4 linked regions of the Elephas maximus indicus genome follow. The protein of the gene in region 2 purifies or fractionates together with the protein of the main gene of each other region. This does not show direct contact. Links are inferred from orthologs where the notes say so. Each region holds a gene or a part of one and is shown on either strand. Other genes may lie near its edges.

Region 1 (7,194 bases), about 59 Mb from region 2:
GTATCCCCAGGACCCAGATCAAGACCTGGCACATAGTAAGTGATCATCCTGTTGTTAACAAGGAGAGACAGAGATGAGGGGAGAGGCTTCAGCAATGGAGAAGCGGCAGGATATGAAAATTTCTGAAAAGGTGGGGGAGCTGCACACCGAGTCCTAGAAAGCAAAGAGGGGCCTGATGTGGATGAATAAGATGCCAAGCTGGGCCCAGGAGAGCTGCATTATACAGCCCTCAGCCCCTTCCACCTGATCTGCAGGACTGTGATGAGTAGTACCTCTCAGGGTTCCCTGGATGTGGGTGGCAAGTGAAGAGGCCCCCAAGCTGCTGCTGACATAATCAGCTGTGGGTGTGCTCGCGTCACTGTCACATGGCCTAAGCTTTCCTTAACAATGGTGTTCCCCATGGGGTGGGGCTCGGAGGAGGGCTCAGTGCAAAAGCTGGGATACAGAGGTGTTATAAAACAACTCAGAAAGACCGAAGCAGAAAAACACAGAGAACAAAGGCTTCAAGAGCCTGGATGCTCAATCCCCTCTCCTTGAAAATGCTTCCCCCATTTCATATACTTACTGCTCCCCCTCGACTGTGGCTCTCTCGCTTTCAGACACCTCTTCTCTAGAAACATCCTTTTTCTTCTTCAGCTCTCCCCAAGGATTTAGGTGTGATCTTTCCCCAACCTGCCCTCAGTGCCTCCTGACCCGGGCAGGCCTTGCTCTCCTAACGCCACCTCCGTATCTATCTTCTGGAAAGGCAAGAGGGTTTAGCGCTCCAGCAGCCCCCACCTGCTCCCAAGGCCTTGGCCTTCCTGCCTCACGGTCCCCACAGTAACCAGGCCCTGCTGCCGTCAAAGGAGGCGAGGGGGCGGGAGGCAGTGGTGACGTCAAAGCGGAGGTAGGAGGCGGGGCGAGGCAGCCCGGGAATGTGGGGCAGGGAGGCTGGAGAGGCAGCGGTTTGGGAGGCGGCCAGCCCGAGGGCGGCGGCCAGCGTACTTAGGAACATCATGTTCCCTTGGCTGGTGGCCCAGGACATGTACCCAGCCTGGGCGCCTCCCCTCAGGCCAAAGACAGCCTTTCTGTCCCAAAGCCAGGGATTCCTGGAGAGACGATTAGGAGGAAAGGGGTTCCCCCCCCCATACACACACACGCTGGCTCTCTTCTCAGGACTCGCAGCCACCCTCCCTTCGGCTTGTTCCTGCAGCTTCTGGCACTGGGTTCCCCTCTCAAACTGTACACATCTGCTGGCCCAATGCCAAAGAGTCAGGGCGGGGAAACTGGAGGCCTAGGTTCTGCCAGAGAACAAGTACCTTTGCTCCCTCCCAGAGGCCCCCTTTCCGAGCCTGAATCTCATGTTACCATGGCAGCGGGGGGGGGGGGAAGGGAGGAGAGTGTGAATAGGGCGAGGAAATCGAACTGGGACAGAGCAAGTGGCCCAGCTTGGAGCCTGGATCCTGGGAGAAGAATAGAAGGAGGAATGAGGGAATTTGGGCTGCTGCCTGAGGACCAGAAGGATCAAGGAAGAGGGAGGGAGGCACCAAAAAGACTTGAGAATGTGAGAAGAGTTCCCAGCCACAACAGTCACATAAATCTCTCACCCTGTCACTGGTTTTCTTTCTTTTTTTCAGAAAGATTAGGGCTCTATAGCCATCTTTTTCAGCTACCTTTTTTTTTAAACATGGCCCAGGCATTGGGCTAAACACTTCACATATATCATTTTATTTAATTCCGTTAACAACCTCATGAGATGGGTATTATCCCCATTCCACTGCAAATGACTAAGGCTTAAAAAAAAAAAAAAGGCTTAGAAGTTACTAAATGCCTCAATTGTCTGCCTCATAAAATGTTCTCAGGCTCTTAACAAAAGGAGCTCAAGTCTGCGTTCTGATAGCGGCTTGTCGTTCTGGCTTCCAACCCTCCAGAAACCGGTGAGGTATTACCCAACCTCTAAGCTGCACGCCAGCGCTGGGAAACTTAGGTCTCTCAAATTCTAAGCCAACTCTAAGTTTTGTGTCTAGAACACAGACTCAATCCTCCTCCTTCTCCTCCTTGGGCCCCATCTACAGACATTCAGTTTGCACTGCCCACACCCTTCTAAACATCATATCCCCAGTTCTCATGTGCTCACGAAGTCCTTGAGATCATCCTAGAAGCCACCAGCCCCAATGCTTTCCTGGGATCCCACTTCCTCACTCTCCCACCTTACCCCAGGCCACTTTATCGCCACATTGCCTGGCTGTTTGCACCGACACCAGACACGCTATTGGTGCCTCCCCACATCCAAGGGATCAGGAAGACACGTGTACAGGCGATCTGCACAAACCCCAGCCCCATCCTCCACCTCCAGACCCCATAGCTGTTCTCCTGCCCCTACCCCCAAGGATGCCTCTCAGGCCCAATCTCTCCCTCTTACACATGACAAAGGGACCAGAGACGTGATATGCAGCTTCTGGCACTGGCTTCCCCCCTCTCCCAAACCGTACACATCTGCTGGCCCAGTCACAAAAACCACTACACCACTCTTTCTCTCAGGTCACCATGTCAACCCTTCGGTATCCTCCTTCCCGCCCTACTAGAACCCCCGCGTCTTTCAAGTCCGTAGGCAGCTACCCAAACAGCGGCCACGCACTGAAACATCCACCGTCAGCTCTCATGGGTCCCGCCCCCGTCCCTCCCCGGGAGCAGGGACCTTAGCTCCCTCAGAAGCGCAGAAGGCAATTAAATGTGAGAGACGCCCACCCCCCAACTCCCCTCTCCCCGTTCTTCCAGAGCTCTCTGGTTCGCGGCCCCTATTCCCCACAACCATCAGAGTTCCCACCGCGGCGTTCGCATTTGCAGATGCTCCACTCCATTAACACCCCTTGTGACAGAACACACCCTCCTGGAAAAACCGATACCAACTGCCGTCCTCATCCCCGGGACACTCACCGCTGGGCACGCACAGAGTTCAATTTCCTTCAAGTGGAACCAGCGACTAGGACTTGCTCCTCCAGCCCCGCCCACCGGCCGGATTGCCACGCCCTCTAAGCTTATTGGCCTAAGGGAGCCGACCCATGCCCCGCGCCGCGTGCAGCCGCCCGGCCTCCGCACAGCCTCCATTGGCACTGCTGGCCGCTGTCATCTTCTGATTGGTTCGCCTGCCAATAGGCAGTGACAGATCCACGTGCGAAAAGGACCGCCCCACCGCGTTAATTGGAAGCCTGACCTGAAACCACGCCCCCATTCACTTCTGACGTTCTCATTGGCTGTAGAAACATACCCCCGAGTCGCCTAGATCGGTGACGCAGACGTCGGTCTAGCTCGCCAAGCTTTCTCATAGGCTGAGAGGTCTCGGAGATGTAGGCGACACGTGCCGGCGGGCTCACGCGGCAACTTGTTTACCTAGAAGCTGGGGATTTTCCTTGACGACACTGCTAGCCTGGACCGCGAAGTCTGCGCAGGCGCAGTGAGCGTGACCTACACGCAGGCGCAGATGAGAGCGGCGTTGGCGTAGGTGAAGGCATCGGGAAAAGGGCGTTGTGCCGAGACGGGGTCGAGCCTTGCCGGGCGTGACAACACCGCCTCCTGCGCTGGGGCGCCAGCCCTAGGTCCTTGAGGGTCCGGAAGCTGGAAGATGCGAGCATTAGGGGGTGAAGCGGTCTTCAGATCTCAGCACCACATGATGAGGATGGCCATGAAGATGATAGCTGCCTATTGATTGAGCGCTTTCTGTGGGCCGCGCCAGGCGCTTCTCACAAATCCCAAAAAGGCAGGCTCACTAACTACCCACCGCCTCACAAATGAGGAGACTGAGGTCCTGAGAGGTTTCATAATCTGCCCAGAGTAACACACTAGTCAGTGGAGGGATTGAGATTTGAGCCCAGTGCCCTTATACCACAGAGAAAGCGAGTTCTAGGACCTATGGGAACCCTAAACCCAGGAGGATTCGGTAGATGGCCCTGAGAGGTCTCTGGCACACAGGAAGCTCTCAATAGATGATGGACAGTATAATGACTGTGTACCTAACTATAAAAATCACCTGGGCTGCTTTATAGAACCGCTGAATCAAAATCTCCAGGGAAGGAGCTGGCAAGTTTGGGAAACGCTATCTAGGTTTTCTGTAATGCTGGTTCCTCAGAGAAGCCCGGCCCTCCAGAGCTTACCTAGCACTTCCCACCCACTGTTGAAGTGTCTAGGGACAGGGATGATGGGGTACCACATCGGATAGGGGCGTCATGGGAGTTAGGTGTGGAGTCTGGAGTCACCAGTCAGTCGGCACAATGTGCGGGTGTGCAGGGGTAGTACGTCCTCGAAAGCCAGCTCCAGGCCACGCTCAGGTGGGTCTCCCTAAGCTAATCAGTTCAACAAGTATTTGTTAACGCCTCTGAGTGCTGACACTGTGCTAGACACAAAGGAGAAAGAGATGCTTCAGACAAGCTGGTCATATACTTGAGTGGCCACAGGAGTGCCTGCAGGGCACCTAGGAGTTAAATCTAGGGACAGAAGGGGATCCAACAGCTGAAGCATGCTCCAGGTGATAGGGAGATGGAAAGCTGGGACTCCCAGCCTGAACGGTTCACCAGGCTTAGGGACACAGCTGTCATGAACATTTTTCCCCCGTTACCAACTCCTGGTGCTCCCCCCACGTGGCCAACTTGGGAATCACACTTTGCACTGCCCAAGGTCGGGCCCTTCTGCAAAGCCCAGTCCCTTCTTTTCAATCTTCCAGGTATACCAACAGATCCAGAATCCTTCCCACTGGTTAAGAAAAGATCTTAAAACAGACACCACCTGGTTACTCATCACACATTTATTGTACATTTTCACAATCTGGATGCGCCACAGAATTGGGGGCACAGGAGAGGGGAAGAGGGGGGCAGGGGACACTGGGATAATATGGGGGGTCTAGAACACAGTGCCCCCACCCCAGCATCTCTCCCTACCCTTCACACCACAACTTAGATGTCCCTGCTCCTCCCCCCCCCCACAGAAAACCTCAAGTGTGGGGGAAGAAAAAGTTTGGGGGGCCCCCCTCCAGTGGCAGGTTAAGGGACTGAGCCCTCAGACCCCTAAAATTGTGCCATTTAAAAAGACAGTTGACCCTTCATCTACCACTTCACCTAAGGAAGGGACAGCGCTCTCTCTGGGCTCTACCACTTGGAGAGGACAGAGGATCCCCAACTTCCAGCAAGTCCCAACACGCATTGGCAGTGACTAGTACTCCCACCCTGCATCCAGCGGGGCAGTCTGAGGAGCTGGGCAGTGATGGGGGCAATACTCCCCAGAAGGAAAGGTTTTCAGTCCTACCCCCAAGCAGGGGTGGGACCAGAGGAGATTTTAGGCAGGAATTGAGGGGATTCTCTGCCCTGCCCCATGCCTCCCCAAGGCAATGATAGCCCCTCAACACTGGTAGCCACCCCTCCCAAAAGAGATCAGATGTGGCCAACCCCCAACTCTCCTGGTGGGAGGAGAAGGTGAATCAGGCAGATGGGAGGGAGGGAGACCCCATGGGAATGTCAGTTGAGCTCCCCACTCGAAAACTGGGGAGCAGGAATGTGGGTAGAGACCCCGAGTGGCAGAATTATATTGGTCCGTCATAACACACTGAACTCCAAGACACATACACCAGCCAGGGAACGGAGAAGAGGGGCCAAGAGGTTTGGAAAATGGGGGTAAGGGAGGCAAACTGGACTAGAGGGGTTAAGAGAGGGCAATTCTGGGGACCAGAACAGCCTGGTTCCCCAAAAGCTCAGGCTCCCCACCACCTGCAAGTAATGCCATGAAAATGAAAGCGTGATACGAGAACCAATGGGGACTCCTCAGTAAAAAAGAAACATGGGTGAAGAGTGATGAAACAAAAAAGAAACCAACAGAGATGTCAGTATGCAAATGATATGCTAATAAACATGCTGGAAGCTTCCCAGAAGACCTTGGGATTCTTAGAACCCTGTGGGGCCAGTCTCAGAGCCTCCCAATGGATGCAGAGGAGATGCACCTAGGGAGGTCTGGACAGTTGCACTTTGTTTTGAGGGGAGGGCTGGGTGGAGTGGGGATGAGTGGAAGGCCTGGGTAGGAAGAAGGATCAGCTAAATCCAAGGAAAGGAAAGGAAAGGAAGAGGGACTATTGCATAGCAGATGCAAATGAAGGGACTTGGGGGAAAGGAGGGGAAGGCAAGGAAAGAAAGAGAGGAGGTGATGGGAACCTCAGGAAGGAGTGTTAAGGACAACCGGAAAAATCTTCTAGTAATAAAACTACAAACAGACCAAATATATATAATATTATATATGTATAAATAACAGCTGGCTATTTACAAGGGGACACACACAGACACACACACGGATTCAGGGGAGGGGCTGGAAGATATGGCTGAGAGGTGGAGGAGCGGCTGGGGGGAGGAGGAGAGGCCCCTCTCTGGGCAGGGCAGGCTCCTCAGGGGTTTAAGTGCTGAAGTAAACTGTGGAGAGAGGGAAAGAGGAGGAAGGGGGAGCAGGGAGAGAGAGAGAAAGATAAAGAAAGCAGTGTGTCAGGCCTGGCCCTGCTCCAGTCCTCCCCACTCCCCGGCTGACTGACGTCCCTTTCCCTCTCTGGGCCTCAGGTTCTCCATCTATAAAAGCAAGGAGCTGGACAGGCAACTTCTGAGGTCCCTTTAACTCCATGGTATGGCCCTGGGACCACAGACCCCTAGTCCTCTAGGTCTCTGAGCCCACAAGCTCTCAAAGAGTGGGGTGGTTGGCTTCTAATCTTGAGCTCCTGGGCCTCTCCTGCTCTCCCACTCCCCAATTCCAGGGTACTCAGCCTGGGCTCTCAAGGCCCAAAGGGTCTTCAAGGGAGCAGTAGGGATCCACCAGCTTTCCTGTTTCCAAAATCTTAACAGAAATCGCCCAAAGCCAGGCAAAGTGCAGGCTAAACAACATCAGGTTTGGGGATCTAGATGAATCAGAACTGCCACTGGCAGCTATGTATGTTTTTTGCTGAATAGTAAAAACAATGTTAATGACCTTCAAAACCCAGGATCCACAGGGGAAACCTCTCCAGAGAAAGGGCCCTGGCCACCCACTCCCCACTCACCGATGATGATGATGAGGATGATGGCGCAAATCACTCCCAGGATGATCATCATCTGGGGGCAAGAGGGGAGTCCATGAGACAACCTATGCTACCCCCATTCGCCCAGCAGCCCTCCTACCCGCCCCCCAGCCCGCCCCCACCCTTACCTTGAGGTTTTT
Region 2 (7,206 bases):
GAAAGACAGCCTGTGGCCCTCCCTCAAGCTCCATCTGCACAGCAGGCAGCTAGAGAAGGTCGGCCAGCACTGGGTCTTCTTGCTCACAAAGTGCTCAGCAAACACAGGGACAGACTCCCCTCCCCACATTTGCAAACACCTACAAGCACTGAAGTCCGAGCTAGACCCCCAAAGCCTGGAATGCCAGTCTCAAAACAAGGTGAACCCTACCTTGAGCAGTTCAGAGCTATCTAATGTCAGAGTGGCGGCAACAGGAATGCTTTTAACCAGAATCTTACTAAATTCCTATGACCAGCTTTTCAGGATGAGGCCCCAACTCAATTGCCTAACTGCCTACACGAATGGGAACCAATAACATGGATGACTCAATGTACCTCACAGTGCTGGCCCAGCCTCTTGGACTCTTCACCACAGTATATGATGATTTTGCTCTAACCAACTGACCTAGCCATGTCTTACTCAAGCTAACAAGATCTCTTCACATTTCCTTGGTGGGGCAGCATGTAGCCTCCAAGAACATAGACTGTGAGCCAAAACCAATGCTGACTAACTAGAAATTAATCCGTCCTGCCTAGCCCCAGACAGGAGCCCTGGTGGCACAATAGTTAAAAGCCTAGCTGCTAACCAAATGGTCAGCAGTTCAAATCTACCAGCCACTCCTTAGAAACCCTATAGGGATAGTTCTACTCTGTCCTATACGGTCACCATGAATTGGAACCAACTTGACAGCACGTTACGACAACAGGCCCACACAAGTCATGGGCTGCCTAGGTGTGCCAATCCAAGTGTCCGGGAGCCACAGTGCACCACCTCAGAACACACAAAGAGGAGAAGCCTGAGAACAGACCCCTCGGGGCCCATCCCCCACCTGTATTAAACACCCACGCTGGGTTTAATATGAGGGAGGCCCAAAGGACACCACGGCAAATAAGCAGACAGGGTTCCCGCTCCAAGCTTCCAGCCCTGTGAGAAGAGGGCACCCCTCTGTGAACGACTCAGTGAAAACAATTCGGCAACTTAATGGTCTGAATTTATCTTCTGAAAGCACAAAGCTGTTTGGCAAGATCTCAGATCAGAGAACAAAAAGTTTCAAATCATCTACTTCTGATGCCCGTGTAAGGCTGGATAATGCATTGGCTTTTCAGTACAGCTCCCAGATCTGAGATTAAGACTTTTGCCAAGATCTCCTCCATAAATAAGGCAAACAGCTTGCATTTACCCAGCACTGCACTCCCAAACAGGCTGAGAACGCACCCAATGACTCCTTCGGTATAAATATTTAAACAGCAAAATCCAAGCATCTCTACAGCAGCCTTTCTTTAGCAGGCCAGTAAGGCAGAAGTATGGCCCACAGGCATCCACCCAGCACATGATGAGTTACCCTGGAGGTTAACCAGGCACCAAGAGCAGTGGGGGAGCTCCCCAAACATGTTAGCCACAAGGTCTTGGATCTCCTCCTCAGTAACAAGGGGAGGGTGGGGGTGTCAGCACAGACTTGGCTAGTCTGAAAAGCCAACAGAGAATCACTGTACACCCAGGAAGAAGACAGCGGTTCCTGGCCCTCCCTAACAGGCACACGAGCCAAACAGAACAGCCAAAGCGGGCTGCTCAACAACAGGCCATGTTTACCCTGAGGTTATGCAACAATTCTTCTGCACACTTGCCGGCACGCCAGGCTCATGTTCTCAAGTTCAGGAAGCTTGAGAAGCTTAGACACAACATGCTTGCTTGGGAAAATGCAGAAAAACTTGGTTATTTTTCAATTCCCAACTTTAAGATTTCAGCCATTCTTTTATCATAAGCCTGTGTATATACGTGCTTTTTTAAAAATCCCAAACACTTCAGCTGAAGCTTGAAAATTCTAGAGCCCTGGTTGCGCAATGGTTAAGCATTTGGCTGCTTACCAAAAGGTCAGCAGTTCAAATCCACCAGCCCCTCCGTGGAAACCCTACGGGGCAGTCCTACTCTGTCCTATAGGGCTGCCATGAGTCAAAATTGACTCCACAGCAATGGGTTTGGTTTCTGAGCATCCCAACAGCCAAATGCCAGGCTCAGAAACACAACTTTCTTCCTACTTTATCAGCCTGACTTTGTCCACAGTAACCTAACTCTTCACCTCTAGGCACCTTGCTTTGGCCTCACTTGATGCTCAACCTGTCCTCAGCGGTCACCCCGAGCCCCTACGCTGGGCTAAGATGCAAACAAGAGTGCTCTCAAAGCCTCCCTCCAGTCTCAGGGGAACTAAGGTCACAGCCCAGAGAGGACCCACCGAGGCCCATCCTGCAAAAGGCAGGAGTATAAAGCAACAAGAAACCAGAGTACCTAGGAACACAGCCACAGGATGTCCCACCTCCAACCGCATTCCAGTTGTTCTGACATTTTCCCCACGTGTGTGAGACGCAGCCGTGAGCCCCATGGGGGCTGCGGAGAAGGAGCCGTGGCCTTTACTTGTAGGCGACAGGAGGGCGTGGGGACGAGCACAGCCCGACCCTACAAGGCCGCAAGGTGGCCGGGGGGACAGCGCCTCGGGAGCTCGCCGACGCCCGAGACTCCCACGGGGCGCTGCCCCTCTCGGCCGCAGCTGTCCAGGCCCTGCCCACGCCACCCGCGGCACAGCTACTTCCGGCCGGCGACTGGGACTCGGGGCGCGGGGGCCGAGAGCGGGGCCGGGCGGGGGTCAGGGACCGGGACCGAGGGCGGGACTGCGCGGGGGTCAGGGCCGGGGACCGAGACTGGGGCCGGGCGGGGGTTAGGGCCGGAACACGGGCAGCCCCCGCCTCCTCGGCCACCAGGCCCTACAAGCGCCCCCAGCTCCCGCGCCCGGCCAGCGGAGCCCCCTTTTCCGGCCTCTTGGACGCCAAGCTCGGTCTCGAGCTGTCGGGGGGTGGGGGGTCTTGACACGGGGCGAACCCAGTGAACCGGGCGCGGACAGGAGTCCCCCCGCGAGGCCCCGGACCCCGGCGCCCCGCCCCGGCGCCCTCGGGGCCGGGGGCTCGCCCTCGGGGGCCGAACGCCGGGTTGGGGTCGGCTCCCGGGGCGGGGGAGGGGCGCGGGGGGCGGCAGGGGGGCGCCGCGGCCTCACCGAGATAGATGTCTCCGAAGGAGCCGCTGCCGATCTTCCGGCCCAGCCGGTACCTGTTCCCGACTCTCAGCTCCATGACTGCGGCCCGGCTCGCTCCTGTCTTCCCGGCCGCTTCCTGGGTCTGAGCTCCGGTGAGGCGGCGCCCCTGCTGCCGCTACTGCGGGTCCGGCTCCCGGCTCCGCCCCCCTCACGGCCCCGCTTTCACCATCGCTTTCCGGCCTCCCCGCCGCTCCCAGCGCCTCAATACGGGACGGATGGGACAGTCCGAGTGCCGCCGCCCCTGCTCCGGCCCCTGCCGGCCCCTGTGGTCCTCTCCCCGCCGCGGATGGACTCGGATCTTCCGGGCCTAAATCCCCCTTCGGCTGCCTAAGAGAGCCGCCGCCATGGCGCTGTGACGTCACTTCCCCTGGCAACACGGAGGGGCGGGGCCGCGCCGCTCGAGGGGCGGGGTCGGAGCGAGGCGGGAGGGGGCTTTGGGTATGGACTTTATTTAAAATTTTTATTGTGCTTTAAGTGAAAGTCTACAAATCAAGTCAGTCTCTCACACAAAAACTTATATACACCTTGCTACTTACTCCCAATTGCTCTCCTCCTAATGAGACAGTCCGCTCCCTCCCTCCACTCTCTCTTTTCGTGTCCATTTCTCCACCTTCTAACCCCCTCTACCCTCTCATCTCCCCTCTGGGCAGGAGATGCCAACATAGTCTCAAGTGTCCACCTGATCCAAGAAGCTCACTCCTCACCAGCATCCCTCTCCAACCCAATGTCCAGTCCAGTCCATGTCTGAAGAGTTGGCTTCAGGGATGGTTCCTGTCCTGGGCCAACAGAAGGGCTGGGGGCCATGACCACCGGGGTCCTTCTAGCCTCAGTCAGACCATTAAGTCTGGTCTTATGAGAATCTGGGGTCTGCATCCCACTGCTCTCCTGCTCCCTCAGGGGTTCTGTGTTGTGTTCCCTGTCAGGACAGTCATTGGTTGTAGCCGGGCACCATCTAGCTCTTCTGGTCTCAGGTTGATTGTACTCTCTGGTTTCTGTGGTCCTTTCTGTCTCTTGGCCTCATAATTACCTTGTGTCCTTGGTGTTCTTCATTCTTCTTTGCTCCAGGTGGGTTGAGACCAATTGATGCATCTTAGATGGGCGCTTGCTAACGTTGAAGACCCCAGACACCTCTCTCCAAGGTGGGATGCAGAATGTTTTCTTAATAGGTTTTATTATGCCATTTGACTTAGATGTCCCCTGAAACCATGGTCCCCAAACTCTGCCCCTGCTACGCTGGCCTTCAAAGCATTCAGTTTATTCAGGAAACTTCTTTCCTTTTGGTTTAGTCCAGTTGTGCTGACCTCACCTGTATTGTGTGTTGTCTTTCCTGTCACCTAAAGTAGTTCTTATCTACTATCTAACTAGTGAATACTCCTCTCCCACCCAGGGTATGGACTTTTGATCAGGGTGAGGCTGGGGGTACAGGCCTTGGGATAGGGTGGAATGGGGGGGACGCTTAGGGCATCTGATCAGGGTGAGGTGGGGGCTTTGGCCATGGGGAAAGGGTGGGGCAGGAAGCTTGGGCACCTGGGCGGGCCGGGGCAGGGGGCTTTGGGCATCCGGACAGGGCGGGGTGGGGGGCGTCTGGGCGGGGCGAGCGCACTGAAGCCTCCTCCTGGGGCTCCTTCCTCGCCCCGCCCCCAGACCCATCCTGCGCACCGGCTCCACGTGCTCGCGCTGGGGCGTTGTGTGCCCCCGGCAGGTCTAGGAAGCCTGGGGATCCTACGGACAGACCTGGGCGGGGCCCTAACGCTGTCCTTTTGCGGGATGCAGAGATGGCACTAGTTTTTTTTTTTTTAGAGAGGGCCAGAGTCTGTCCCTCCAGCCCTGGACCTGCGCCACCGGGGTCGGCAGGTCCGCTGAGGCACCCAGGCGGGATGCAGGTGTGCGCTGGCCTTGTGGTCCTGCCAGGGACATCTACTGGTCCGTCCCTCCAGGAGATGCCAGTTTCTGGATTTAGGGGGCTTGGGAATTGAGTGCCTGTAGCCTTCTAACACCTCCTACACCCCTGGAACTCAGATATAAAGCAAAGGGAGGAGTAGGCCACCCAGGACCCAGGTCAGGGGGCCCTACTGGGTGAAGGCTGGGTTGATGCAAGCAGGCCTCCAAAGGGCGAGCTGACACCACCTCTCCAGTGCCATTGCCTGGGCCCCAAGTGAGCATCTTTACCTCATCTGCCTGCATCTGGATATTTTTAATTGCAAAATAGTGCAGGATGCTCAGGCACCAAGTTGGAACTCTTGACTCGGACCATTGGGAACAGCCTACCAGAGTGGCCCCCAAGCCCAAGCAAGCTTCTGTAGACACCTCCAGGGGCAGATGACCCAGTAAGCAAGGTAAGCACAGGCTTACTTATGCTTGCTTACTAATGTGTAGTGAACAATTTCACACGGGTGATTGGGTTATCTGTCTCTGTCAGGGATTATAAGTTTGAAAAGAGGCTTTGTAGGAAGGTGCTGTGGGGTTGGGAGAGAGACAGATGCCAGCCACACCTAGAAGCACAAAGTTTGATGTGGTGAGAAAAACGTGCTTACCTTTCCTATTGAATAACCCGCCCCTCCCCGCCAACCCCCAGCTAAAAAAGAACCATGAAATGGGTTGATGAAACGCACTCCTAAACATCCAGCAGGCATCCCGCTGGGCACAGGGTTCACAGAGGCTAAAGAGAGGGCATGGAGGGTGCGCTGGCCCCTGGCACACAGCAGAGCTGCCTTTTCCCACTTGGAAGTCTCCCGTCTCTGCCTTCAGCCTCAGGCATGCAGCCCTCACCAAAAATAGTTGGAAGTCCAGTAGTCCAAACAGCCTCGGACTGGTACAACAACAGATATATAGACCAATGGAGTAGAACAGAGAATCCAGACATAAATCCATCCACATATGAACACCTGATATTTGACAAAGGCCCAAAGTCAGTTAAATGGGGAAAACACAGTTTCTTTAATAAATGGTGCTGGTATAACTGGATATCCATCTGCAAAAAAAAAAAAAAAAAACAAGACCCATACCTCACACCATGCACAAAAACTAACTCAAAATGGATCAAAGACCTAAATATAAAGTCTAAAATGATAAAGACATGGTGTAAACAGTATACAAGACATTACTAACAATGTGCAAACACCAGAAGAGAAACTAGATAACTGGGAGCTCCTAAAAATTAAACACCTATGCTCATCCAAACACTTCACCAAAAGAGTCAAAAGACCTGACACTGCCCTTTTGCAGGATGAGGAGAGAGCCGGAGTCTGTCTCTCCAGCCCTGGACCCACGCCACCGGGCGTCTGCAGGTCCTCGGAGGCACCATCCCTACTGGCCCCCGGAGGGGTAGTATCCAGGTACCAGGCCTGGCCACCTGGCAGTCCAGCCTGGGAAAAAGTTTTTAGCTATGACATTTCCTATCAGCATCTGATCTCTAAAGTCTGCATGATACTGCAAAAACTCAACAACAAAAAGACAAATAACCGAATTAAAAAATGGACAAAGGATATGAACAGACAGTTCACCAAAGAGGACATTCAGGCAGCTAACAGATGCATGAGGAAATGCTCACGATCATTAGCCATTAAAACCCACTGCCACCGAGTTGATTTCGACTCATAGCGACCCTATGGGACGGAGTAGAACTGCCCTGTAGAGTTTCTAAGGAGCACCTGGCGGATTTGAACTGCCGACCTTTTGGTTAGCAGCTGTAGCACTTAACCACTACACTACCAGGGTTTCTGAAATGCAAATCGAAACTGCAATGAGATACCATCTCACTCCAACAAGGCTGGCATTAATCCAAAAAACACAGAATAATAAACGCTGGAGAGGTTGTGGAGAGACTGGAACACTTATACACTGCTGGTGGGAACGTAAAATGGTACAACCACTTTGGAAATCGATTTGGTGCTTCCTTAAAAAGCTAGAAATAGAACTACCATATGATCCAGCAATTCCACTCCTTGAAATATATCCTAGAGAAATAAGAGCATTTACATGAACAGATATATGCACACGCATGTTCATTGTAGCACTGTTTACAATAGCAAAAAAATGGAAGCAACCAAGGTGACGATCAATGAATGAATGGATAAATAAATTAT
Region 3 (7,429 bases), on a different chromosome or scaffold from region 2:
AGGTTGGTGGTTCAAACCCACCAACAGCTCTGCAGAAAGAAGACCCGACCATCTGCTCCCATAAAGATTACAGCCTAGAAAACCCTATGGGACAGTTCTGCTCTGTCACATGCGGTCACTATGAGTAAAAAATTGACTGGAAGGCACCCAACAAAAATATATAGAGAAAAAGAGACACACACATCCTGGGCGATGAGAACTGTTAATGCGTGTGCTCAGCTGCTAACCAAAACGCTGGTGATTTGAGTTCACCCTGAGATACCTTAGAAGAAAGGCCTGGTGACCTACTTCTGAAAAATCAACCACGGAAAACCCCATGGGGCACAGTTCTATTCCGACACACAGGGGACTGCCATGAGTCGGAGTTGACTGGATGCTAACTGGTTGGGTTTTACTTATAACAAAACTGTTGCCGTCAAGCCTATTCTGACTCATAGTGACCCTATAGGACAGAGGAGAACTGCCCCATAGGGTTTCCAAGGAGCGGCTAGTAGATTCGAACTGCCAACTTTTTTGGTTAGCAGCCGAGCTCTTAACCACTGTCCCATCAGGGCTCTGGTTTTATATATGTCGTTAGGTGCCATTGAGTCGGTTCCAACTCTTAGCGACCCTATGTACAACAGAACGAAAACACTGCTATGTCCTGCGCCAACCTCATAATTGTCGTTATGCTTGATCCCATAATTGTAGCTGTTGTGTCAATCCATCTGTTGAGGGTCTTCCTCTCTTTCATTGATCCTATACTTTACCAAACATGATGTCCTTCTCCAGGGACTGGTCCCTCCTGATAATGAGTCCAAAGTACTTGAGACAAAGTCTCTGCAGCCTTGCCTCTGAGGAGCATTCTGGCTGTACTTCGTCCAAGAGAGACTTGTTTGTTCTTCTGGCAGTTCATGGTATATTCAGTATTCTTCACCAACAGCATAATTCGAAGGCATTAATTCTTCTTCCATCTTCTTTATTCATTGTCCAGCTTTCCCATGCATATGAGGTGACTGAAAATTCCATGTTTTGGATCAGTCCTCAAGGTGACATCTTTGTTTTTTAACCCTTTAAAGAGGTCTTTTGCAGCAGATTTGGCCAATGCAAATCGTTTGATTTCTTGACTGCTGCTTCCACAGGCATTGATAGTGGATCCAAGTAAAACGAAAATCCTTGATAACTTCAATCTTTTCTCTGTTTATGACGATGTTGCCTATTGGTCTAGTTGTGAGGATTTTTGTTTCCTTTATTTTTAGGTGTAATGCATACTGAAGGCTGAAGTCTTTGATCTTCATCAGTAAGTGCTTCAGGTCCTCTTCCCTTTCAGCAAGCAAAGTTGTATCACCTGCATAATGCAGATTAATGAGTCTTCCTACAATCCTGATGCCATGTTCTTCATACATAGTCCAGCTTCTTGAATTATTTGCTCAGCATACAGATTGAATAAGTATGGTGAAAGGATACGACCCTGATGCGTATCTTTCCTGACTTTAAACCACCAAGTACCGCTTGTTCTATTGGAATGACTGCCTTCTTGGTCTATGTAAAGGCTCCTTATGAGCACAATTAAGCATTCTGGAATTCCCATTCTTTGAAATGTTATCCATTATTTATTATGATTACACAGTCGAATGCCTTTGCATAGTCAATAAAACACAGGTAAACATTTCTGGTATTCTCTGCTTTCAGCCAGGATCCATCTGACATCAGCAATGATATTCCTTGTTCCACATCCTCTCCTGAATCCGGTTTGAATTTCTGGCAGTTCCCTATTGATGTACCGCTGCAACCAATTTTGAATTATCTTCTGCAAAATTTTACTTATGTGTGACATTAGTGATATTATTCGATAATTTCCTCATTCTGTTGGATCACCTTTCTTTGAATGGGCACAAATATGGATCTTTTCCAGTCGGTTGGCCAGGTAGCTGTCTTCCAAATTTCTTGGCATAGACAAGTGAGCACTTCCAGTGCTGCATCTGTTTGTTGGAACATCTCAGTTGGTATTGCTTCAATTCCTGGAGCCTTGTTTTTCGCCAATGCCTTCAGTGCAGCTGGGACTTCTTCCTTCTTTACCATCAGTTCTTGATCATATCCTACCTTCTGAAGTGTTTGAAAGTTGACCAATTCTGTTTGATGCTTTCTGCATCATTCAATATTTTGCCCATAGAATCCTTCGATATTGCAACTTCAGGCTTGAATTTTTTTTTCAGTTCTTTCAGCTTCAGGAATGCCATGTGGTTCTTCTCTTTTGGTTTTGTAACTCCAGGTCTTTGCACATGTTGTTATAGAAGTTTACTTTGTCCTCTTGAGGTGCTCTTTGAAATCTTCTGTTTAGATATACATCTAAATCTCCCACATTTCAAAGGTTTCTCTAGTGACATATTTATGTATAACAGGGGTGCCCCTCTTCCTTGTTCCCTTTTTGGAGTATATTAACTTGTCCTGTCCCCTTCCCCTCCGCCCCATCCTAGTCCTTATCATATAACTTATACTGGGGAGGTAAAATACTATATAATTCTTCACCTTATTAAAACAATTCAGCACATAAGACCCTGGTTATTTTCATTTTTATTTCAGGGAATAGAGGCATTGACAAGCTACGCAGTTGCATACCCCCTGACCACAGGCCTTGTCCTTGTCATATGCAGAAGTTTATTGGTGTCTCAAAAGAGGATGGAAAGGTGCTCTCTTCCATTCTTCTGGACGTTGGGTTCCAGAGCAGGGACACACAGAAGGCCCCACATGTGGGCTTAAAAAATTCACAGCCAGGCTGGGGATGAAGAGAGGATGGGAAGACAGACATGTCTTAGGAGCGGCTGGCATTCATTCCTTGTAAAAATTTATTGGCTCCTACATAATAAATGATAACTTGGCTCCTACATAATAAATGGTAACCTCTCACGTTTATGAAGCACTTTCCGGTTTTACAGATCCTCTCTTTTACACAAAGAAGATGAGGTCTGACCATTGACTATTGGGTTTAGCAACAGGAAGCTCATTGTTGACCTTGACAAAAGGTTTTGATATAGAATGGTAGGGACAGCAACTAATAATAACTACAAGTAGGGACATAGACTGAAGGTTCAAGTGAGGCTTGGAGGAGGAGAATTGGAGACAGCAAGTACAGACGACTCTTTCAAAGGTTTATGCAGGAAAACGGGAGGTAGCTCTAGAGGGATGTAGAGTCAACAGGGCATTGTTTTAAGACGAAAAGTACTTCAGCACGTTTGTATGCTGATAGGAATGAACCAGTAAAGATGGGAAAACGATGATCCAGGAGAGAATTGCTGGAGAGAGATGGGCTAGTAGTGGATGCGGGGAGCTAGTGCCCAGATGGAAAGGCTGACCTCAGCCAGGCCCACGGACAGTCCTCATAGTAAAAGGAGAGAAAGCAGATTATGTAGGCAGAGATACAGACAGGCAGGGCCATGTGGACATTCTCTTCTGATTGCTTCCATTTCCTCAGTGAAATAGAAAACAAGTTATCATCTGAGAGTCAGAAGGAGAGGGGAAACGGTAGAGTGAATGAAGAGGGAAATCCCAGGCTAGCAGGCAGCCTTAAAGCACCACTTGAAATCACAAAATCATGAATTTAGAGCGGGAGCAGTAAGCACAGTTGTGTGTTTTTCTCCCGCCACGTGTTCAGGTGCAGATGGAAAGTAAACAGAGAGTTGAATTTAACCAATCAGGGTTGGGGATTTGCCAGGCAAAACGATGAAGTTAGAGAAAAACAAGCTACTTGAAGGTGTAATCAAAGGAACGGTTATTACGAGGAACCGGTATTTTTGGCATGAATAAATTGATAATTAAATCCAGGGGATTAAATCCACGGCTGGTCGCACCAAGCTCTGGGATTCTAGGAGCAGCGCGGTCAGCGTGCGCGGGGGCGAGAGGCAGGTGCCAGTCTCTCTTCTAGGTCTAAGCCTGACTGCCCCGTGGCCAGGTAGGAACGAGCTGTGGAGTGGGCCGGCAGGAGGCGCGCTAAAATGGCCAGGGCCGAACCCTCGGGTTCCGCGCCCGGAGCCGCCACCCCGGGCAGCATGCCGGCTCAGGCCTAGGCCGGGCCCTCTCTCTCCAGCAGGTAAGGCGGAATTCTGCCTCCTGCAGACAGCGAACAGTAAACTAAGTTTAAATCCCGCGAAGCAACCAGCAGAGCATGGGCTCGGAAGCAACCGGCAGCCAATACCGAGGCGCGGAGGGAGGGCCGGCCTGTGGGGCAGCCAATAGCACATCAGGGGGCGGGCCCGTGGCGGGGCTTGCTCCGGACCGATTCTGCCTCTGGGTGAAGGGCGGGGCGGGCCAGGATCACAGCCAATGGTAGAGCGGGACGGCGCAGCCCGGCCAATGGCGCGGGCCGATTTGATTCAAAGGTGCCTATAAAGGCAGGCCCGCACGCCCGCACTCACCTGAGCGTGGCTCTTTAAGGTTGCTGCGATGGCTTTGCGGTCCGACGGCCTGGACGAACTGCCCGCCGCCTGCCTGTCGCCGTGCGGGCCGCCCAACCCGGCCGAGCTGTACAGCGAGGCGCGGCGCTTGGCGCTCGAGGAGTTGGTGACCGGCGGCCCCGACGCCTTCGCGGCCTTCCTGCGACGTGAGCGCCTGGGCCGCTTTCTGAATCCAGACGAGGTGCACGCCGTTCTCAGCGCGGCCGAGCGGCCAGGCGAGGAGGGCGCGGTGGCCTGGGCCGAGGACTCCTTCGGCTCGTCCCACGACTGCTCGTCCGGCACCTACTTCCCCGAGCAGTCGGACCTGGAGCCGCCGCTGCTCGAGCTCGGCTGGCCTGCCTTCTATCAGGGCGCCTACCGCGGGGCCACGCGCGTCGAGGCGCACTTCCAGCCGCGCGGCACCGGTGACCGCGGCCCCTATGGCTGCAAGGACGCGCTGCGTCAGCAGCTCCGCTCGGCGCGAGAGGTGAGCGGGCCGCCTCGGCCCCCGTACGGACGGGAGACCCTCCCCAGGAACGGGAAACTGTGGCCTGCTGGGAGCGCGGGCCGGGCCCCGCTCCCTCTGTGCCCTGTGTCTCCCCGCGAATCCCCGATCCCCCGGTCTCTCCTTGTGGCAGCGGAGGATGGGAGTAGCCTCGGTCCCTGGAATGCGAATTGTACCTGGCGCCTGCACCGCTCTCGCTCTCCCCCAACGGGAGTTCTCCCCGGGTTCCAACTCCCAACAGCCATATCCCCTGAGGGAGGGACCAGAAATACTTTCAGTTCCAAATTTCAGATGAAACCAAACCAGATCGCCAGCTTTCCTGGCTGTCAGCCTACAGTAGATCCCACTTTCCGGGGGCTTCTTTTTAGACACATAGGAAAGAAGTGCATTTCCTAGAGAAAGGTTCTTTAGAAATGTATTGACCTTAGAAACTATTATTGCTGGTCACTTCCACTTGCCTTATATTGCAAAAAGCAAATAAATACATGAAAGGCAAAGTAGAGCCCTGCCCCTTCCCCCCCTGCCATATACCTGAGGGGAAGTTGCTTCTTATGTGAATGGATGGGGCAGGGGTTTGGCTTTTCCATAGGCCGAGGCTGCGCCAGTTAGCTGTAACCAGTTGCCATCAAGCTGATTTTGACTCATGGTGACTCCAGTGTGTCAGAGTGGAACTGTGCTCCATAGAGTTTTCAATGGCTGATTTTTTAGAAGCAGATAGCCAGGCCTTTCTTCAGAGGTGCATCTGGGTGGACTTGAATTGCGCCAGCCTCTACCACTGTAAAGGAAACTCTGGTGGTGTAGTGGATAAGTGCTACAGGTGCTAACCAAGAGGTCAGCAGTTTGAATTCTCCAGGCGATCCTTGAAAACTCTATGGGGCAGTTCTACTCTGTCCTATAGGGTTGCTATGAGTGGGAATGGACTCGAGGGCAGTGGGTTTTCATTAAGCAGCCAAATGCATTAACCATTTTCATCACCCAGAAACTCCCAGTTACAAGTGGCCTCCTAAAGTGCAGATACCCCTGCACTGTAGGTCAGCCCCACTGGTCACAGTGTGGTGTGGTTTCGGGGTGCAGAGGGGAGCTCTTGTCTCCCTGCCAGCCAGGATGACACTGCAGCAGGGTGCTGGGCACCTGGGAATCCAGGAGGAAGAATGCAGCATGCAACATGAATTGGGTAGATACACGTGGTGGCAGACACCTTAGTCCAGAGCCGTAATTAGCTGTTCCCTTGCTTGCTGACGGGCAGTGCCCTGCTCTTTGGCTATCTTTCTGGGCCAGGAACGTGGCAGGTAAAGTGAAGGCAGCGGTGAGATACATGACTGGAACCTGCGTGTCTGACCCTGGATTAAAATACCTGTGCAGCTTGTCCGATGGAAATAGCCAAGTCCAGAGCGAACTGTGACCCTCCCGAGTTTCTGATGTTGGTTGTTCTATACCTGACTGCAGAGCCAGAGGTCACAGTGCTAGTGGATACAGTGAGCTAGTGCCTTGCCTTTGGGCGAGTGGGTGTGGGGTCCAGGCTAGGCTAGTATCAAGCCTGTTGTGCATTGAGTGGGCTGAGGACCCTTTTGATACAAAAGACACTTGTGGGTTCAGTGAGAAGATAAAGGATGGAAAAGGCAGAACTGTGGGGGTGGCATGCAATCCCAAAGCTCACCTTCAGGAGGAGAACTTGAGCACTTGGAACTTGAAAAATGTGTTGAACGGGCCTCCCTGAAAGAGAGCTATGGATAGCCCTAGCCTCTTCCCCAGTTCTAATTTTTGGTAGCAGCGAAGCGGGGGCCCTGGAGCTTAAGGGCAGAGGGAAACTGTTCTGAGAACTCACGCCCGGCCTTGGAGGGGGATGGGGCTGAAGCTCAGATTCTTCTTGGTGCTCGGGGCATTTTGAAATACTGACACACTAGGACCTTTCTATCCTGGATAGAACCTCTTGCCCCACGGCTTGCCCTTTTGTGGCCCTAGTCCAGATAGACAGGCTTCTGTCTGAGATTCTGTATTTGGAACCTGGGCAGTATTTTGGTTTGTTTTGTTAGCTAGGGGTTTTTGTGTATAATTTGTTTTACAAACTTTCCTATGTAAAACGGTTGACTGAGCACTTTAAAAACAACATTTTACTGTGTTTTCAGTAAAGGTTTACACAGCAGTTTAAGTTCCCGTGCAACAATTTCTACACACATTGTTCGGTGACATTGGTTGGAACCTGGGCAATTTTAACTGAGAAAGGTGGTACATTGCCTTTAAAGTTAAGTGAATACCTTCAGTGTACCTCCCATATGCCAAATTATTTGCTTACTCAGTACCTGCTACCTGTCAGGCATTGTGGCCAGAGAATGGGGCTGCAGGTGGAGGGCATATCCTTGCCTGCACTTGAGAGTTGAGTCTGCTGGTGGGAGCCTGAAGAGGTTGCTGCAGGCTCTGCTTGGGGGAGAGGGCTGAAGAAAGAAAGCCTCAGGTGTAGTGGTGACTGGGTGCTGGGGTCCAGGAGGATGGGCAGGGCTTGCCAGGCTGAGAGGAT
Region 4 (7,808 bases), on a different chromosome or scaffold from region 2:
TCACTGTACCAAAAAGAATTGATCGACATACAACTATTGGTCAACCTTTCAGGAGGTAGCATATGATCGAAAACCGATGGTACTAAAAGCAGCAGCCCAAGCTGCACTGAAACCATTGGCAAAAAACAAGGATCAAGGAATTGATGGAATACCAACAGACGGATGCAATGCTGGAAGCACTCTCTTGTCTATGCCAGGATATTTGGAAGTCAGCTACCTCGCCAACCGATTGGAAGAGATCCATATTTGTGCCCATTCCAAAGACAGGTGATCCAACAGAAACATTTGCAGCTGTACATCAACAAGGACCTGCTAGAAATTCTAGCCCAATTCAGAAGAGGACCCAGAACAAGGGATATCATTGCTGATGTCAGATGAATCTTGGCTGAAAACAGGGAATACCAGAAAGATGTTTACTTGTGTTTTATTGACTATGCAAAGACATACAACTGTGTTGATCATAACAAATTATGGATAACATTGTGAAGAATGAGAATTCCAGAATACTTAATTGTGCTCATGCAGAACCTGTACATAGACCAAGAGGCATTTGTTGGGGATACTGCATGGTTTAAAATCAGGAAAGGTGTATGTCAGGGCTCTGTCCTTATACCACATTTATTCGATCTGTATGCTGAGCAAATAATACGAGACACTAGACTATATGAAGAAGATCATGGCATCAGGATGGGAGGAAGACTTATCAACAACCTGCGATATCCAGATGACACAACCTTGCCTACTGAAAGCAAAGAGGACTTGAAGCAATTACTGATGAAGATCAAAGAATATAGCCTTCGGTATGGATTACACATCAACATAAAGAAAACAAAAATCCTCACAACTGAACCAGTAAGCAAAACCACGATAAATGGAGAAAAGATTGAAGTTGTTAAGGATTTCATTTTGCTTGGATCCACAATCAACACCCACGGAAGCAGCAGTCAGGACATCAAAGTACAAATTGCATTGGGCAAATCTGCTGCAAAAGACCTCTTTAAAGTGTTGAAAAGCAAAGAATGTCAAGGTGAGGCCTAAGGTGTGCCTGACCCAAGCCATGATATTTTCAATTGCCTCATATGCATGAGAAAGTTGTACAATGAATAAGGAAGACCCAAGAAGAATTGATGCCTTTGAATTATGGTGTTGGTGAAGAATATTGAATATATCATGGAGTTCCAAAAGAATGAACAAATCTGTCTTGGAAGAAATATAGCCAGAGTGCTCCTTGGAAGGAGGATGATGAGACTTAGTCTCACGTACTTTGGACATGTTATCAGGAAGGATCAGTCCCTGGCGAAGGATATCATGCTTGGTAAAGTAGAGGGTCAGTGAAAAAGAGGAAGACCCTCAATGAGATGGATTGACACAGTGGCTGCAACAGGCTGAAGCATAACAAGCATCAGGCAGTGTTTTGTTCTGTTGTACATAGAGTGGCTATGAGTCAGAACCAACTGGACAGCACCTAACAAGAACAACAACAATCTTTACGGAAGCCGACTGCCCCATCTTTCTCTCACAGAGCGCCTGGCAGGTTTGAACCACCAACCCTTTCAGTTAGCAGCACAGCGATTTATTCACTATGCCTCCAGGGCTCCAGGAACTCAAGGCGATTTCCTTAAAAAAGGGTTGTAAGCATAGTGGGTACTTAAAGTTTCACAGACTCTTGGCTGAAACAGAAGAGACACTTAAGGATTAATTACTTGATATTTCTTTTCATATTTAAACTAAATGTATTTTTACTGTAAACACTATATGGACCCTTGATACAACTCTTTTGGGGGCTCACTTAGTTTACATTCCATGACTGTTTGGCAATATGAAAATCCTTCAAGGTGATGTCAGTATATATTTTATTACTCAGTAATCCAGTGCAGTGTCTTGAATTACAGGTTTATAATTCCTTATCATGATAATAGTAACATCTTAGATTTTTTTAACAGTTCATTAGATTATAAGCCACTTCAAATGTGTACTAGTTTCCTAAGTCATGAATTACATTTTCAAAAAATGTTATTGTGGCAAAATACGTATAACAAGTTTGTCATTTTAACCATTTGTAAGTGGACAATTCAGTGACATTACATTCAATATGTTGTGCTACCTTCACCACTTGCCGTTTCCAAAATTTTTTCAGCACACTAAAGAGAAACTTGTAAACCCTGGTGGCGTAGTGGTTAAGAGCTATGGGTGCTAACCAAAAGGTCAGCAGTTCAAATCCACCAGGTAGTCCTTGGAAATCCTATGGGGCATTTCTACTCTGTCCTATAGGGTCACTATGAATTGGAATTGACTAGACGGCAATGGGTTCGTGTTTTTTTTTTTTTTTTTTTTTGGTTTTAAAGAGAAACTCAGTACCTCTTCAGCAATAACTGACTCCTATTCCCTCCAGAACAGGCAAATTTCTATGCATTTGCCTATTCTGGATTTTTCATATAAGTGGGATCAGAGAATAATTTGTCCTTTTGTGTCTGACTTATTTCACTCAGTATAATGTTTTCAAGGTTCATCCATGTCAGAACTTCATTTCTCTTTATGACTGAATAATATTCCATGGCATGTAGGTATATATCACATATTGTTTAATGGACACTTGGGTTGTTCCTACCTATGCATTATTTTTTGAAATCTTAACACCAACAAATTTGTCATAAGTGTTATTTAACACATTCTGTTTTTGTATGCATATTTTTATTCTAGTACTCATTTTGTTTGGAAAGCAGTTTAGTAAAATGGAGTAAGACTTGAGTCAGGAAGTCTGGATCTTAATCCAGCCAGGACTTTTGCTACCCAACCATGGGAAGTCAAGCAAGTCATTTTAAATGATTAAAATGACCATTCAGGCCTTCATAAAATATGGAAGAAAAATCACTATGCTCCCTCCTATTTTCTTTATTTATATACCATTGGTGCCCTGGTGGTGCAGTCATTAAAGAGCTAGGCTCCTTACCAAAAGTTTGGCAGTTCAAATCCACCAGCTGTTCCTTGGAAACCCTATGGGGCAGTCCTACTCTGTCCTGTAGGGTCACTATAAGTCAAAATTTATTCAGCAGCAACAGGTTGGATTTTACATACCATTCACCTATATTGTTGTTCTTAGGTGTCATCAAGTTGGTTTTGATTCATAGTGACTCCAGATGACAGAGTAGAACTGCCCCATAGGGTTTCCTAATCTGTAATTTTTTTTCTTTTTACTGGAGGATCCCTGGTGGTGCAATGGTTAAGTGCTCAGCTGTTAACTGAAGGGTTCTTGGTTTGAACCTTGGAACCGCTCCTTGGGAGAAAGAAGTGACGATCTGCAGTGGTAAAGATTGCAGCCTTGGAAAACCTATGGGGCATTTCTACATGGTTCTATGTTGTTGTTGTTGTTAGGTGCTGTTGAGATGGTTCCGACTCATAGTGACTCTATGTACCACAGAGGAAAACACTGCCCAATCCTGTGCCATGCTCACAATCCTTATGCTTGAGCCCATTGTTGCAGCCACTGTGTCAACCCATTTCACTGAGGGTGTTCCTCCTTACCACTGACCTTGTACTTTACCAACCATTGTGTCCTTCTCCAGGGACTGATCCCTCCTGATAACATGTTCAAAGTACGTAAGATGCAGTCTCGCCATCCTTCCTTCTAAGGAGCATTCTGGTTGTACTTCTTCCAAGACAGATATGTTCATTCTTTTGGCAGTCCATGGTATATTCTGTATTCTTCGCCAACAACATAATTCAAAGGTGTCAGTTCTTCGGCCATCTTTATTCATTGTCCAGCTTTCACATGTGTATGATGCGATTGAAAATACCATGGCTTGGGTCAGGCACACCTTAGTCTTCAAGGTGACATCTTTGCTCTTCAAAACTTTAAAGAGGTCCTTTGCAGCAGATCTGCCCAATGCAATGTGTCTTTTGATTACTTGACTGCTGCTTCCATGGCTGTTGATTGTGGATCCAAGTAAAATGAAATCCTTGACAACTTCAATCTTCTCTCCATTTATCATGACGTTGCTTGTTGGTCCAATTTTTGTTTTCTTTATGTTAAGGATTTTTGTTTTCTTTATGTTGAGGTGCAATCCATACTGAAGGCTGTGGTCTTCGCTCTTCACCATCAAGTGCTTCAAGTCCTCTTCACTTTCAGCGAGTAAGATTGTGTTATCTGCATATTGGAGGTTGTTAATGAATTTTCCACTAATCCTGATCCCCTGTTCTTCTACATACAGTCCAGTTTCTTGTATTATTTACTCAGCATACAGATTGAATAGGTACAGTGAAAGGATACAACCGCCAGGGCTATCACCACTTTTCCTCCGGGGATTTTCAGCGTTTATCAGTTTCACCCTGGTGGCACAGTGGTTGAGTGCTAGGGCTGCTAACAAAAAGATCAGTTGTTCTAATTCACCAGGCGCTCCTTGGAAACTCTATGGGGTGCAGTCCTATTCTGTCCTGTAGGGTCTCTATGAGTCGGAATGGACTTGACGGCAACGGGTTTTAAAAGCGACCACTGAGTCCGTAGGACGGCGAATGGGGGCCGGGCTGGGTACCCTCTGTCAGACCTCGTCCTCACCCCACCCACCCCCAACCCCGCCGCAACCTGGGAGCCGTTCATCCCTGGTGAGGACCAGGAAGGTCTAGGGTCGGGAGGGCGCCGTCTCCCGCCCGCCCCTCGCCGGTAGGTGGCGGGGGTTGCCGGCCGGGGTCGCTCCCAGGGCGGCGCGCGGCTCAGGGCCGCGGGCGCACCTGCCTGGTGCGGCGAGGCTCGCGGCGGCTGCGCGGACTGACGTGCCCCCCCTCCCGCCCGGCCGCGTGTTTACGTGGAGACGAAGATGGCGGCGGTGGTGACGGCGCTGCCCGTGCGGTCGAGGACTACCCACCAGTGAGCGCGGAGACTTGTTCGACTCGGGGCGGGGAGCGCTGGGCCCGGCCCTGCTCCTTGGGCCCCGGAGCTGGCCGGGACCTCCGTCTGAATCGACCTTTCCTTTCTACCCTCGATCCCTTTCCCGTCTTCCCCCACCCTTCTCCGCAGAGGCCATGGAGGACGACGAGAGACAGAAGAAGCTGGAGGCCGGCAAAGCGAAGGTAGGAAAGCCGGGCGCAGCCGGGCCCGCGGTGGGAGGCGGCGCCTGGAAAGGGGTGGTGGAGGGGAGCCTGGGAAGCGGAGATCGCAGCAGCCCCAGTGCGCTCGCTGCCTGGGAGGAAGGTGCTGCAGGGTCTTTATTTCCCCCCGCCACCCTCTCCCCTTTTTCCACAGGAGAAAAAAGCCCTGTGCTACCATCTAGCAAATTAAAAAAAATGCTTCCGTAATGATTGGATCGTGTGGCTCTTTCTCGTGAATGCGCAAATGAAACGCCTCTTTTACTATATTGCTATTAGCTAGTATGTATTGCCTCTAAATCTCCAGCTTTTCACTCTTTTAGGTTGTTTTCTGGGTGGTGCAGGCATTGTGCTTTTCTGGGTGGGGATTTGGGGCTTTATTCGGTGGGGGATTTGTGCGCTGATCATCAGCTTGGCTTCTTTAGGTGGCACGCTGGCACTCTTGGGTGTGTGTGATTGGCCTGTGACAGCTGCCACAGCAGTGGCTTGAGGGTGCCACAAGTGCCAGCTGTGAACTTCGCTTTAGGGGCGTTTTTAGAAGCGTGCTTTATATGTTTGCGTTTGGAGGTCTTTGTCATGGCATGCGCTTTTGTATTGTGTGGAATGTTAATGCAGTCTGTGAATGGAAAGATTCCATATCCTCAGCAATAGCTATAGAATTCCTGCTTTAAATACTGTTTTAACGGTTTGTTGTGTTTGTCTGGGTGAGTCGCGATTGTGTGTGTGTGTATGCATGTATGAAAAAGCCTGTAAAGAACACAGTATAAAACTATAAATATATCACTCATTGGGCATCATGAAAAAATTGACATAGACAAAATAGAAATTAAATAGCATTTTTCTTTAAAAAATTACATGTTTGAGCATATCATTTGTCCTCAAAGGTCCTCTTCTCCCTACAATGGAGCTACCTTTTATAGATTGTTTTAACTGTCTTATTGGAGGTAATTGTTAGCAATCATGATTGAACCACAGTTAAATTATAACATAGTTGGCTGTTTTTTGTTTCTTCCTTCTCTTCTCCAAATAGACAAACAAAGGAAACCTGGTCAATGGTTTTGGTAATCAATGAAGAACCAATACTGCAGAAATGCATTAGTTAGATGCTCAGCCAAATTTGTTAATGAATAAGTATGTGAGCTAACTTCCTATCACTACAATATAGTTCACTTTTTCACATGTTCACTCTAAGGTCAAGGCTTAAGGAGCTATGGTGGCACAGTGGTTCGGCTGCCAACGGAAAGGTCCCTGTTCCAATGCACAGGCCCCTCTGCAGGAGAAAGATGTGGCAGTCAGTCAGCTTCTGTGAAGAGTTACAGCTTGGTGAAGCTACTTGCAGAGATCACTTTTCAGCCAAATAATAGACAGGCCTGTAAAATAAACAGTTAACACCTGTGAGGAATGTGCTCCTTAGAACAACCAACTATATGAGACTAAAAAGAGCAGCATTTGCCCAAAAGCAAAGAAGGGGAGGCGGGAAGGGGCAGGGAAGCCCAACGCATGGAAACAGGAATCCAGGGTGGAAATGGGGAGAGTACTGACACATTGTGGGCATTGCAACCAAAGTCACAGAACAATTAATGTGTGGATTATTGAGTGGGAAACTAGTTTACTATGTAGACTTTCACCTAAAGCACAATAAATTTATTTATTTTTTTTTTTAATTTAGAGCTTAGAAACCCTATGGGGCAGTTCTACTCTGTCCTGTGGCATTGGGTTTGGTTTTTTGGTTAAGGTCAAGGTTTAAGTGCTTATAGGTATATGAGTAGATTATTATTTTAGAATCTATAAATGGAGGGAAAGAGGAATCAGGTCATCTCCAGAAGCCCAAAGTTGATTATATTTGTAAGCAACCTGAGGATCTGAGCAAGCTCTATGCACCCAAGGAAGTGGGACTTAAGTGCGTGCCCCCTTCCAAAAGCGTTGAAGTTCTATTTAGACTTAATTATTGAATCTTGTCTTTTACCTCAGAATTTTTACTGTCTGCCCCCAGAATTATCTTTTCTAATATATGTGAAGCAGTCCTATACAACATAGTTTACTTTGGACAAAAACATCTCAAAATAGAGGACTTATAGTATGGTTGATTTGGCAAAATAGAATTCTAGTTTCTGTGTATACGTGTGTTGTCTTTCAAAATTCTATCTATTGGAGTAAAAATCTTTATATTTCAACTTTAGTTTTTACTGTACAAGGTTATCTTTTTGAGTTGAGCCCAATATTTCTGTTGAGAAGTAGATCTGTGAAACTTGTCAGGCAAGGTATGTTTGCAACATGAGCTTTACAATATAAAAACACTGGAAGCAACCTTCAAAGACAACATTAGGAGATTTTCTAAGTTATTTATAAATGCAGTGGGATAGCTTGTAGCTTTAAAATATTATGAAGACTGGAACATGGAAAATAGAGTGAAAACAGCATTATCAAAAATAGTGTATACATTAGTATTTTAATTATATAATAATGTGTGCTTGCAGATTAGGACCAAAAGACTCTTTTATAAAGGAAAAGCAAATCAGCAAATGTTGAAGTCCTGTCTTATACCAAGGGATGGAAATAGAGAGGTGGCGACACGGTCCCTGCTCTCAAGAGACTTACAGTTTAGCGGGAGAGACAGACCTTGTGTAATAAGTACAATGACAGAAAAGGTGCATTAGGATTTTGGGTTATTTTTTTCATTTGTGAGAATGTGTTAAATGCCGCTACCTCATCTTTAAGAATATTTTACA

The links.
Region 1: the proteins of CSNK1D (region 2) and PER1 purify together in Homo sapiens (affinity purification with mass spectrometry; 4 studies listed by BioGRID and IntAct, counting the BioPlex papers as one, with this or other methods). This does not show direct contact. The link is inferred for Elephas maximus indicus from reciprocal best matches to the Homo sapiens genes CSNK1D and PER1.
Region 3: the proteins of CSNK1D (region 2) and FAM83D purify together in Homo sapiens (affinity purification with mass spectrometry; 4 studies listed by BioGRID and IntAct, counting the BioPlex papers as one, with this or other methods). This does not show direct contact. The link is inferred for Elephas maximus indicus from reciprocal best matches to the Homo sapiens genes CSNK1D and FAM83D.
Region 4: the proteins of CSNK1D (region 2) and AKAP9 purify together in Homo sapiens (affinity purification with mass spectrometry; 4 studies listed by BioGRID and IntAct, counting the BioPlex papers as one, with this or other methods). This does not show direct contact. The link is inferred for Elephas maximus indicus from reciprocal best matches to the Homo sapiens genes CSNK1D and AKAP9.

The regions. Positions count from the first base shown.
Region 1 is NC_064837.1:12,620,693-12,627,886, reverse strand, and holds the start of PER1 (period circadian protein homolog 1), read right to left. Parts: upstream 3,017-7,194; 5' UTR 2,917-3,016; intron 2,703-2,916; exon of another isoform or gene 566-2,702; intron 558-565; exon of another isoform or gene 1-557. Other genes in the region: VAMP2 (vesicle-associated membrane protein 2), read right to left, coding at 6,969-7,088, 7,183-7,194. UniProt on the Homo sapiens protein: Transcriptional repressor which forms a core component of the circadian clock.
Region 2 is NC_064837.1:72,069,103-72,076,308, forward strand, and holds the start of CSNK1D (casein kinase I), read right to left. Parts: upstream 3,015-7,206; 5' UTR 2,417-3,014; coding exon 2,323-2,416; intron 1-2,322. UniProt on the Homo sapiens protein: Essential serine/threonine-protein kinase that regulates diverse cellular growth and survival processes including Wnt signaling, DNA repair and circadian rhythms. It can phosphorylate a large number of proteins.
Region 3 is NC_064843.1:30,577,822-30,585,250, reverse strand, and holds the start of FAM83D (protein FAM83D), read left to right. Parts: upstream 1-4,419; coding exon 4,420-4,896; intron 4,897-7,429.
Region 4 is NC_064826.1:61,954,016-61,961,823, forward strand, and holds the start of AKAP9 (A-kinase anchor protein 9), read left to right. Parts: upstream 1-4,800; 5' UTR 4,801-5,016; coding exon 5,017-5,064; intron 5,065-7,808. UniProt on the Homo sapiens protein: Scaffolding protein that assembles several protein kinases and phosphatases on the centrosome and Golgi apparatus. Required to maintain the integrity of the Golgi apparatus. Required for microtubule nucleation at the cis-side of the Golgi apparatus.